3 linked regions of the Xenopus tropicalis genome follow. The protein of the gene in region 1 interacts with the protein of each later gene in a biochemical or structural test. Links are inferred from orthologs where the notes say so. Each region holds a gene or a part of one and is shown in the gene's direction. Other genes may lie near its edges.

The links.
Region 2: the proteins of itk (region 1) and lcp2 form a complex in vitro, tested with the Homo sapiens proteins (2 studies listed by BioGRID, with this or other methods). The link is inferred for Xenopus tropicalis from reciprocal best matches to the Homo sapiens genes ITK and LCP2.
Region 3: the proteins of itk (region 1) and khdrbs1 form a complex in vitro, tested with the Homo sapiens proteins (4 studies listed by BioGRID, with this or other methods). The link is inferred for Xenopus tropicalis from reciprocal best matches to the Homo sapiens genes ITK and KHDRBS1.

What each region holds. Positions count from the first base shown.
Region 1 is NC_030679.2:14,179,363-14,183,542, reverse strand, and holds the start of itk (tyrosine-protein kinase ITK/TSK), read left to right. Parts: upstream 1-1,333; 5' UTR 1,334-2,749; coding exon 2,750-2,887; intron 2,888-4,180. UniProt on the Homo sapiens protein: Tyrosine kinase that plays an essential role in regulation of the adaptive immune response. Regulates the development, function and differentiation of conventional T-cells and nonconventional NKT-cells.
Region 2 is NC_030679.2:32,309,699-32,314,011, forward strand, and holds the start of lcp2 (lymphocyte cytosolic protein 2), read left to right. Parts: upstream 1-1,513; 5' UTR 1,514-1,701; coding exon 1,702-1,779; intron 1,780-4,200; coding exon 4,201-4,263; intron 4,264-4,313. UniProt on the Homo sapiens protein: Adapter protein primarily involved in signaling pathways within T-cells, as well as other immune cells such as platelets, mast cells, and natural killer (NK) cells.
Region 3 is NC_030678.2:86,521,146-86,525,258, forward strand, and holds the start of khdrbs1 (KH domain-containing, RNA-binding, signal transduction-associated protein 1), read left to right. Parts: upstream 1-1,251; 5' UTR 1,252-1,255; coding exon 1,256-1,349; intron 1,350-4,107; coding exon 4,108-4,113. UniProt on the Homo sapiens protein: Recruited and tyrosine phosphorylated by several receptor systems, for example the T-cell, leptin and insulin receptors. Once phosphorylated, functions as an adapter protein in signal transduction cascades by binding to SH2 and SH3 domain-containing proteins.

The sequences.
Region 1 (4,180 bases):
AACACTTCCGAGTAGTCACTAGCAACTTCCGGAAGAGGTACGTCACGTTACGTCAGCGCGCTTTCCAGAGCGTCCATTACCTGTTACTATTGAACAATGGCGTGTTACTGCGCAGGCGCTGGAAGCGTTTAACGTGGTGCCAACTGCAGGGGGAGCCGTGTGGCTTCCCAAAAAGAATGTTTTATAAGCAGTATATGTTTGGCTGGTTATAGTCTTTGTACTACTGGTTGTTGCTCTTAAAAGCAAAAACAAGCTGGTTTAAAAGATGTAGTGAACATGAGTCTGCTACAGTATAGGTTCATGGCTTTCTACCCACCCATAGAATTCAAAACAATTCCCATATTAAATAGAACATATTTGTAGGTGCTGGACATACATAAAACATTTTTTAAATGTTCATCTTTATTCTCTTTATGGTGTTTATGGTCTGGACCTTTCATTTTAAAATTGAGATACAATAATGCGTATTTTGTGTTTCTAGGGCCAGTGGCACAATGAGAGGTTCCATGTGGGAAATTGCTGAAATTACTTGTGGAAACTGGAGGGCAGTCTGTGAGAAGACTGGGAGCAGCCTATGAAGAGACAGAGGAGCCTGTTATCAGCATGTGAGGTCTGCCCCTGTCAGTGCTTTGAGAGTGAGCACTAAGGGAATGCTCTTGCTTTTGCAGCAGGGGTATAAATAAATGGCCCCTACAGTGTGGCATTGCCATGATGCTGAAGGGCCAGATATACTGCTGGTGTACAAGTATGCTTGGGAGCTGTGAGCGGTAATTTAGTGATGCCCCTGCTACAAGTGTAGGAACACTTAAGCCCCCCATACACGGGCCGATAGAAGCTGCCGATATGGGTCCCTTGGACCGATTCAGCAGCTAATCGGTCCGTGTATGGGAAGAAACGAGCGGCCTGGCCAACCGATATCTGGCCTGAAATTGTCCAGATATTGATTGGCCAGGTTAGAAAATCCAGTCGGATCGGGGACCGCATCGGCTCGTTGATGCGGCCCCCGAACCGACTGCCCCATGGCCGCAACTGTAATCCGATCGTTTGGCCCCAGGGCCAAACGATCGGATTATTTTTTTTTAAAGCAACTTCCTACCCGATATCGCACACCCGTAGGTGGGGATATCGGGTAAAGATCCGCTCGCTTGGCGACATCGCCAAGCGAGCGGATCTTATAGTGTATGGGGACCTTAAGGGCCGTGGTAGACGGGGAGATAAGTTGCCTGCGAGTAATCTCCCTGATATGCCATTCCACTGGCTTGAATGTAAATCGCTGGTGGGATGGCATATGCCTTGAGAGGAAACTTCCGCGATTACGGGAAATCACGTCACTGCATATGCCATCTCACCGGCGATTTACATTTAAGCCGGTGGGATGGCATATGGGGGAGATAAATCGCCCGCAACTAGGGAGATTTGTCACGGGCGACTAATCTCCCCATCTGCCACGGCCCTAAGGGACACAAAATCACACCTTTAGTGCACATTTTCAAAGCACTTGTGACAGCCTCTGGGTAGTTGTGTTATTAGGGGCATAGTGTTGCACAGTCATCAGGACCAGAATGGAATTCAAAATAGGCCCTGGCATTTTAAGTACATAAAGGCCCAAAACAGCCCTCTAAATAGTGACTGTCTATGATAGATTACAGCAGTCCCTGTGGCATATGCCAGACTCCACAGATTGCCAGTCCAGGCCTGTCATTTATAATGCTAAAGGGACAGATAGTCTATTGGTAGGCACAGGGCAAATATCCTGCTGTGGTATATAGTGCCAGAAAGTCATGCTGATGGATAAAGATGATATTGGAGGGATACACCACTGGGCAGACAACAAATGGAAGCATGGAGAGCTGTGGTAGGTGGATTGCTGATTTGGGTTGAGCTTGGGCTGGGTAATGCAAGCTTATTTGGGCATAATTATTGCTATGGAGGATGATCTGCTTTGGCAAGAGCTGAGTTCAAGTGGAGAATATTTGGCACGGCCAAAGCTTAACCAGCTTAACCAGAATGCTTGAGAGTCCCGGGCCACATGGTAAGTTCACTATATGACCCTACTTGGTGCAGGTAACTACAGGGAAGCATATAGTAATTAAAGTGCAAGTCTTGAGTCACTGCTGATTCTTTTTGGGGGGGGGGTAAGGGCTCACAACATTATTCTCTGCCCCCCAGTATTATGGCGCTATTTACTGACTATAATTCACCAATATGGTACTTGTGGCCCTCCATATTGATACATAAGACATGTAACCACTTTTGTAAAGTTACATAAGACATGTATGACTAAAGCCTTCGAAATATTTAGTCCATTATAAGTTAGTTCTTGTGCTTTTTTGTGAGCAATGCACTTGTTATTAAGGTATACAGCAAAGCAGTGGGTAGAAAAATGTGTGAAATGTGCTGGAGAGAGCCCCTGCTGTACACAAGCAACTTAATAGAAAAAAGAAGGATGTGGTTGAAGCTTGAGGTCATAAAACAAGTTTTTCACCTTGCTCTGCTCACTGATGTCTCGATAAGTGACTCCCCCGCTCTCTATGGCAGCACCCCTTCCCCTACTCTGCCTTCTTTTTGAGTATTTCAGCTAACAGTCTCATGCAGTCATGTGATTGTTCATCCTCTCTCTTAGAGTGTTTTCTTAAAGGACTAGGTGGTCTCATTTAATTTTTCTTGAAAAAAGTAAAAAACAAATATTTTCTATGTGATCTGCCTCGGGGTCTTCTGGTGACTCTGGGAACAGGGTCTGGTATCCCAGATGAATAACCCTGTTATCCTGCAACAACAGCTTATTAAGAAGTCCCAGCAGAAGAGAAGGACGTCCCCAGCTAACTACAAGTCCAGGATCTTCATCCTGACCCACTCTTCACTCAACTACTACGAGCATCGGCAAGGGGTGAGCGAATGTAGCACAAGGGTTTGTAGGGCATTAGGTTGGAATGTGGTTTCATTCTTTGGCTTCTTTGTTCACAGTGTTCCTACAAACAAGGGTCTGTGTGAATGTTGTATTGATATGAATGCTTGTGTGTCTTATTAGGGTTGGAGCTACATCCTTGTCTTTCTCTTTCTGCCCCATCTTACTCCCTGGGTTTTTCTCTTGTCTTTATCATACCAGTAAGGACCCATGTAGCAATGTTGGTTATATCCTTGACATGCGCTAAGCTTAGTGCTTCAGCAGTTTTGTCTTACTGTACCAAAGGACTTCATAAATATATTTTAATCTTTTGACCTCAGTACAAAACTGTGCTAACAGTGTTAACAAAAATGATAGGCCTCTAAATAAACACCTGCCTCAATATTGGATGTCCTGACTGCAGGCATATGCATTCATAACGCAAACCTCCTTGGGCTTTATTCCACTATTCTGATTCATAGTCCAGATAAAGTTATTTCAGTTTTATAACTACAACTTCCAGCATTCTTCTTGCTGGGGCATTCTTGCTGGAAGTTGTATTTCTCTAACAGCTGTTTCATCATTAGTTGCTTATATCTGCTCATTATCATAAACCATGTTACATTGTTTATTATGATATAGTAGAGTAACTGGAGGTCATTTAAGAAAAAGAAAAAAAAATTGCAAGGTGCAAAGCCAATCAGCAGCAAGTGCAGGCCAGCCCTGTCTTTACTGCCTGCCATACAGGCAGTTGCGTTTCCATCTGAAAAGTTTGTTTTTGTTGCCCTCCTGATGCAGTGGGCTTGGGGCAAATGTCTTTTCTGACCCAGCCCTTTGTGGTTTGTACCTGTATTTTAGTAATCATGTAATCATGTTGGCTTGAAGTGTATATTTTACAGTTATAACATTAACACAGTTACAAATTAAATGGTGGTGGAAAAAACACACATGTCCATCAATGTGAACCTTTTTGTAATTTCTGCCTTCTAGCATCTCCTGTTTGCCCTAGAGGGGGGGAAATTTTCTTCTTAACTACAAAAAGGGCAATCGAGCCAGTACCTGCATCCAGTGGTGTATCTACAATGTGCCTCAGGCACCCCTTCCCCATAAAAAAAATCTTTGGAGGGGCACGGCATGCAAAGCAAGCCCTACCTGGCCCCCGCATGCTCCTGTACCCTGCTCGTGCCACGTTAGGTAGGAGAGAGCAGTTGGGGAAGGGGGATTTCTAGCACCTACGGAAGAAGCAGATCCCATGGTCTGGGCCCCCCACAACCACATATAACCTCTATAAAGCTG
Region 2 (4,313 bases), about 18 Mb from region 1:
TCAAACTTGTTAATGGAAAAGTTGTTTTTGCTTCAAAAGATTACGCCACCTTCATGCATGCCTTAAAAAGTTAGCAATGTGCAATTCAAATTTGCAATGCAGTAACAGTCTAATGATCAATATTACATTGCAATATGTGAATTGTTATTCATATTTGTATGCATTTTTTTCCATTTAGGTCTTTTTTACATTCCCCCATTGAAGTATCCTTTTTGTAGAGCCAAAAAATTGATGTTGGTTATTCCTGTGAAGTTCTAGAACCTTGTAGTCAATGCCTTACGCCATGGGGCACAGGCCAGCCCTAAAGGTGGCCATACACGAGGCGATTTCGCTCGTTGTGCGATGAACGATTATATCGACAAACGATCGTATGGCGATCGAGTTCCCATACGATATGCCATCCACGGGCAACGATAATTCGGGAAAGATTTTGTCGCATCATTATCGTAAAATACCTACGATCGTACATCTACGTACGATCGATGTCGTTGCTGGCAATCGTGACATGCGCAGAGAACAATCGTTGAAAGACAAATGTCTGACACTCACACCAACTGGCAGATTTTATCGTTAAACGACCAAAATTTTTAAACCTGGCCGATCGATTTTGGGGACGATAATGTCGGCTCGTTTAGTGGGCCGACGATCGTTCGTACACCACCAACTATACGATAACTTAACGATAGCATCGGATCGTTCGCGAATCGGTCGTTTGTAAGTAAAAAATCGGTCCGTGTATGGCCACCTTAAGCCGCTCTTTACTTTGCAAGTTTGAATGATGTACAAATTAGAGGGTTGTGGGGGACAAGTGGGGGGACACCCACATGCCTCCCACCCCTCACCAATACAGTGCTGATTAACACAGTCACTAGTGGCGTAACTACCAGGGGAGCAATTTGCAAAGACCCCTTACTTCTATTTTATTAAATAAATGGATGTGGCCTCTTTGCTAAAATTCAGACGAGGGAATCCTGCTGGATTTGATCACATTTTCAAGATGTGGTGTCTATTCTGCAGGATATGTTATGCACCTCGGAGCTGTCTAACACCATTCTACTGTGTGGGGTATTAGAGCTAGGAAGTAGCACTGAGCTCTAACACCCCTCTAAACCTTTATTCTCAGATGCAACTCACAGACATGGATTATGCCTTTTTGTTACCTCAATAACTATATTATTTCGTACACAATTCCCAATAAATTGCATTTTTTCAATATAATCTGAATTGTAATTTCATGCCTAGTATTTAGGAATACAGTTCCAAAGTTAACAAACAATTAATAGAGAATTGTGTGCCATTAAATAAAGTATGCGCCATAAATTCCCTATTAATAGTGCTGTAAGGGAAGGAGTATGATTAATAATTGTTTTGTTTATTTTTTTTAATGTAGCTACAGCTTAACACCATAAACGAGTCTCATTTGAGGAAGTGGTACAGGAAGTCAGTTGCCTTTTTCTGAGAAGCGAACGTTCACACCAAGGGGAAGTTGCATTTTCAAAAGATGATTCAGTGTAACTGAATGGCAAAAGCTGCATTGTGTATTGTGTCTGTATTGTTTAACTAAAGCAGGCACTGACTACAAATTTCACAGGAATAGACAACATCTTTAAACTTCTTGGCTTGGCCAAAGGGATACTGTGAAGGCAACTGACTAATATGAAACAACCTGTTCTGTAAAAAAAAAGAAAGAAGAGAAAAAACATGGATTTCCGAAGCATCCCTTCATGTTCCGAAGTCAGCTGTTGGAGCCCTGAAGCTCTCATTGAATATTTTAGAGCTGTAAGTACTGTTATATAAAACTATATATATACTGTATGTATTCTGCTGTTATACATTTTACACACACACACACAGCTCATAAGAGCTAAGAACTTTCTGCAGTAGCGGTATCAAGTGGTTCCTATAGAAGTCAACAGGAGGTGGTGAGACTCTGTTTAATGCCAGTAACAACACAGTATTTAGAACCTGTTTTTAGAACCTTAGAATGCAAGCAGGAATGTTTAATGATACGCATTTTGTAGCTGTTATTATCTAAGAAAAGAAAAAGTATATATTTTTTAGTATATTTCTACCACTTGCATTCTAAGATTTGTACATAAAATAAACATATTTATTTTCAGTAATAAATACTTTTTTCAGTAGTTTCCTTTTCAGAACTAAGTTGTGTTTTCAGTTTCCAACTCTCCTAAATATTGTGAGACCTTGATAGAAGGGACCCATTTATTTTGTTCTTGGCTTCTAGCCTCTTATTGACAGAATTGTTTATTGGACTTTTTGTCTCTGCCTAGCTATAGTCCTTCTTACCCCATATGCAATTTGTCTGCTGAAATACAGACACAGCTCATTTTATCTAGATGTTTCACACATTGTGGCATGAACCATATTGTACCATTTGTGCCATATAAGCTCTGTGATGCCACAATGTTTGCTCCATCTGAATGAGCCAGTTTAACCCTTGCCATGTGTTAGCATTCAGGCTAGACTTGTGCCATGCAAAATAAAAGTAATGCTGCACCTCTCTGAGCTCAAATTTGGAACTTTTTGGAATACTGTAGCCTTTTTACTGCTGCTCACTAATGTTTTGTGTCCCCTATGTCCTTTACTGGCTGTACTTCCACCTTTTATTTCCCTGCTGTTTCTTACCTTCGCTTATGTTTGACAAAATGCTTTAAAGGCCTTATAATGGTTTGGCAACAACGTCAAATGTTGAATGTGTCTCTGTTTTACATGAGAGAGGTTTTGCATGTAGTGAGCTATAAATTACCCCCGTTCCCTGTTATTTTTTACTTAATGTTTAAAACAGTTGGATTCTAAATGGGGGGCCTACAGCACAACTGAAGCCTGAATATCAGCTGGCAAAGTAGTTTCTTTATATAAACTCAGTTAGAACCCTGGAATGAAATGTGCAAATTGGCAAGTGAAGGGTGGCAGGTCACTATATTTAAATGCAGACACAACTCTTTTAAAATTGTGTTGTTACTGGGCTTTAAATTAATGTAGTCTCATGCACAAGTCATTAAAAAATGTTACATTATTTTAGAGGTATGGGATCCATTATCCAGAAACCCGTTATCCAAAAAACTCAGTATTATGGGAAGGCCCATTTTAAAACATATTTCCTTCTTTCTGTAATAATAAAACAGTACCTTGTACTTCATCCCAGCTAAGAAATAATTACGCCTTATAGGAGGCAAAACAATCCTATTGAGTTTATTTAATGTTTAAATGTTTTTTTTAATAGACTTAAGGTATGGAATTCCAAATTACGGAAAGATCCCTTATCTAATAACCCCCAGGTGACATTCATTCTGGATAACAGGTCCCATTTCTACTTGTTTTGCTAGCAGCCTATGGAATAACATATTCAGTAACACATTGCCATTAACAGCAATGAAATAGATATCTTGTAGCTTGGCAGTGTTGTCCACTACATATTCAACACCTGTGGTCAGTGGTTAATGTGGTTCCATAGTGGGTATCTTAATGCACACACATACCCACACGCAAACAACATTTGCATTGACTATATAGACCAAAGAATAATACTAATGTAGCATCAATGCTAGTCTACAAGCAATATCTCAAATGCTATCAATGCTTTGTCAAATCATTTACTTTTTTCTCCTGTAGATCAGTAAATTATAAAATATTTTTTAGCAAACTTACTACTACAGTAAAAACTCAATTTTACATACCCTGATTTAAAGTTTTTCCTTATTTATACCCTTTTTTTGTGGTTCGACCATTATATAGTGCATAAAGCATTTTCCTGATTTTATACTATTTTTTTGGTCCCCTGAAAAATGTAAAATGGGGGTTCTGCTGTATATATAAAAGTCTCTCTATGCATCCATCATTTACTCCTTAATATTAATGTGTCATGTATAAACAGGAGAGATTTAAGGATTTTTTGTGAATGAGATAATTATATTTAAATCTATGCTTTCCTAATTTGCTTTGGTATTATTACCTCAACACCATAAAATCTATATGAAGTCAGCAGAAAGCCATTTTATAGAATACAGTATATCATATGAATACCCATACATTGTTATAAACCGTTATTTGTGTCATTATCAGGTATAATCAGTTCTTAAGTTCTTAATGAGTTGGTTACTCTATGTCTATGTAATGAAAATGTAATTAATTTGTGTGTGTGTTTTTTTTTTAAATGCCTTTATGTTTGTTTCCTTTTAAAAGCACAACCTTCGTGATTGTGAAAAGTTGGTCAAAAAGCAAGGCATTACCGGAAAGAGATTTTTGGTAAGAATTTGATTCCATGGTTAATGCACTGGTCTTTTTAAGGCAGTACA
Region 3 (4,113 bases), on another chromosome or scaffold:
TAATCAGCCATGCAGCATCAGCTTATATAAAAGGCCAACCTCCTTTTTTGCAATGACAAAAGTAATTAGGGAATATACTGTAACTGAATAACCATGAACATAAGATGTCCAACACATTAGCCCATATAATTACCAGTAAAAGGAGGAACCAAGGTCCTTAAAATAAATACTTTCTCTGGGTACACAGGGTTCCTAATCATAGACTTGCATTACACCACACAGCCAAGTACAGTGAAACATCAATTTTACATCCCCTGATTTTAAGTTTTCCTGCATTTTACACCATCGTTTTTTGGTCCCACTAATAAATAATAAACTTCTGGGAAAATGTAAAATCAGGGATTTTGCGCCATCTATTTCTGGCCCCCTGAAAAACTTAAAATGGGGGTTCTACTGTAGTCTCATTCTTCATACTTTATAGGTGAACACATACAAAGAGAACACATTTACAGCTACAAGGCCACTGAAACGTATCTACACACGTGCAAGTTTCTTTTTTGGAGCCAGAATTAGTTCTAAACTCAGAACATGAAACCTTTCTAAATGACGGGCATTTGATTTTACAACTGTGCCCCCCCTCATCCCCTACAGCAGTGATCCCCAACCAGTGGCTCCTGAGCAACATGTTGCTCACCAGCCCCTTTGATGTTGCTCCCAGTGGCCTCAAAGTTGGTGCCCATTTTTGAATTTCTGACTTGGAGGCAAGTTTTGGAGGAATAAAGACCATTTGTACTTCTAAACAGAGCCTTTAGTAGTCTGCCAGTACACACTGGGCTACTAATTAACCAATCTGAGTCCTTATTGGTCACCTACTAGGCAAGTTTTTGTGCTTGTGTTGCTCCCCAGCTTTTTTTTCATTGAAATGTTGCTCACGGGTAAAAAAGGTTGGGGATCCCTGCCCTACAGTGTAAGTCACATTAAGCTACGGTCTTACAGTAACAAGCCAGACTCCATTATACGTAGAAACAACGTGCCATCTTTTGTCACGTATCTAGCCATCCAAAACACAGAATCCATGTTTAATACACTACGCTTTCATTCAAGTCTCATTTCTTTGTACGGGGAGCGGAAATCCCGTGTTGCCTAGCGCGCAGTTTTAATTCGCTCTCCCCTCCCCAGGTGGTGTTACGTTGCTTCCGGTGGGCGGTGCTAGCTACGATCTCTTCTTTTGTTGAGGCCGTGCAAGTGCGAGCGGATTTTCTTATCGACACCAGCACTGAGCGTATTGCCGACCAGTAACACCGAACCGAGCAACATGGAGACCGAGACCAAATACTTACCCGAACTGATGGCTGAGAAGGACAGCCTGGACCCATCTTTCACGCACGCTATGAGCCTCCTGGGCAAGGGTGAGTCGGGCTCGGGCGGGGTGTATTCATTTAAGGGTTTGGCGTGAGGGGGACAAAGGGAGTAGGCCAGGGGCCTAGGTAGTAGGATTGGAGTAAAAACACCTTTATGCATTCGGGCCTGCTATGCTTGGCCATGTGGCGTGTGTTAGGTTGCAAAGAATAATGGCGGCTTTGAGCTCACTGCATGCTGTGGATCAGTGTCTGGTTTGTCGACCAACCCTCCCCCACGGCCGTGTTTTTGCAGCTGCTGTTCGAAGTTAGACAAATTGGGGGACTGCCTTCCGAATGTTGCTGCTACTGGGTTTCCCATAGGCATATCCCTGTATGATGCTACACACAGTGTAACCCATGGGTGCAATACAGGCCGACTTAGATACTGTTTTGTCATTTCCAAATCCCTTTTAAGACCAGACCCTTTAATTGAAGTCCGCGTTGTCTTATAATCATTGTTTCAGAAATATTTAGGGAATGATATGTTAAACGTGAAGTATCTGATGGAGAAAATGCATTGTCCCCAAATCACACTGTATGGCCTTCAGTCAGACCCCCACAGCCTTTCTGTTTACCCTTTATTAGAATATATATCCCTTACATAGCAAAAGGTGCTGTGTCCTTATTCTTTAGGAAACATGAATAATTTGTTGGAAATTAGTAAACAAAAGGAATTCTGGTAATGAATTCCAGACTCTTAAAAAAAAAAAAAAAAATCCCATTTACATGGGTTTATCCTGTAGGCTACAGCTCACCCACTGGGTTTGAAGCTGAAGCCAGGACAATAGCTGATCAGATTCCCAACTACAGACCGGTTTTGCCCTTCTTGGGGCTCATCAGTGTAGTGCAGGGTTTTCTGATCAGCTTAGGTAGAGTCACCATGTGGTTCTACAAACAAATTAATAGGGTTACCTATTTATTTGTTTGGAAATTAGTAGATATGGGGGCAGCTGCTTGTTTCATATCTTTTGTCTTGTGAGTACATTTATTGTGACCTGCTGTGGTAATCTGTACAATGTATATATGCTGTGTTACCAGTTCTGTGATGTAGCAAGGGAATGAGATCCAAATGGCACTGTTTGCCCATGGTTTCTACATAAAAGCTTCTTTGTTCTGTGAGAGATACTGACGATTTCCTCCCTCTGTTGGCAGCTGTTCTTTGTCTAGAGGAGGTCAGGGTATAAACCCCATTGTATGTGCAAGAGAGAATTTATTTCTGCTACATGTTAACATGTTTAACATTTCTTAAACATTTCCAACAGTCCTTGTAACTGAAAAGTTTTAACATTGATTACAATTGTATTGTATGAAAGGATCTATATATATGTTTGGCTAAAGCATTGGACTGTGTGGGGGTTACAATATGTGTAAAAACTGGTTTGCTTTGCAATACCTGTTTGGAAGTGAAGTATGGCGATTGGTCAGTAGTTTCATTTATTTGTATGGTTAGTATTTGTCATGTATTTTTGAAGCTAGGGGTGCTTTGATTTTATGATGGACCACAAAGGCTTGAACCAAGACTTTTTTTAAGGCAAAGATTTCATTTGCTTATTTTTTCCTAGTTATAAGCTGCATTAATATAATGCATTTACTCCTTAGTTGTGCGGTTGTCTTTTGCATGATTGAAAAAAAAAAATGATCGACTATTCCTATGTAGTGTTTCAATTTTACAAATGTAGCCTCGATACCAATACAGACTTAGAAGTAAACTTGAAGTCTATATAATACCAATCAGATTTCTTTTTTTTTATCCTCACACGACTCCTTGGTCTTTACAAATCTTGTGTTTTAAAATGAAGGGCTGTAGCTATTTTTTCCCCTGCAGATTACCCTATATTTCTGTTCTTTCTATTGTGCATTGGGTATTCCCGTTCAGATTTGGGGGGTGGTAGATCAGAAGGATAAGAATGAAATGCATTAGTAGTGTTTGTCAGTGACAGTGAAGCTTTCTTGCAATTTTAGGGTAGCCCTGGTGAACTCTTGTCCATCCTTTAGTAAGGCTGATGTCAATATGCCCCACTTGTGCAGTCACTTAAAGTAATGCTATCCTCCTGTTACTGTGTGCATTTGTTGGGCTTTGGCAAGAAAGTGCAAAAGATTTATTTTCTGGCAAAATGTTGCCCCATAAGCATGGTGATGGGAGGATTCCATCCTTCTGCGCAGAATGGATGGAATTGGTCTTTTTTTTTTTTTAAGCTGGGTGGAAATTGCCTGGTACAGGTATAGGACCCATTATCCAGAATGCTCGGGACCAAGGGTATTCCGGATAAGGAGTCTTTCCGTAATTTGGATCTCCATACCTTAAGTCTACTAAAAAATCAAAACATTAATTAACCCCAATAGGATTGTTTTGCATCCAATAAGGATTAATTATATCTTAGTTGGGATCAATTACATGGTACTGTTTTATTACTACAGAGAAAAAGGAAATCAGTTTAAAAATTCTGAATTATTTGATTAAAATGGAGTCTATGAGAGACGGACTTTCCGTAATTCAGAGCTTTCTGGATAACGGGTTTCCGGATAAGGGGTCCTATACCCGTATTAAATGAAGTTTTTTTTCTATAGATTTTGTGATTGTCCACAGAATAAATATACTTGGCAGTAGGTTTCTACACAAAATGTTGTTCACTCTATGCACTTTTGTTTTATGCTGTGATGCCTTTTAGTAGGGGATACCCCAAAAAAGAGGTTGAAATTCTTGCCACTGCTCAGTTGTGCTAAAATGTTTAAAAGATAATAAAAACATCCAAATTAATTTATACAGAAATTG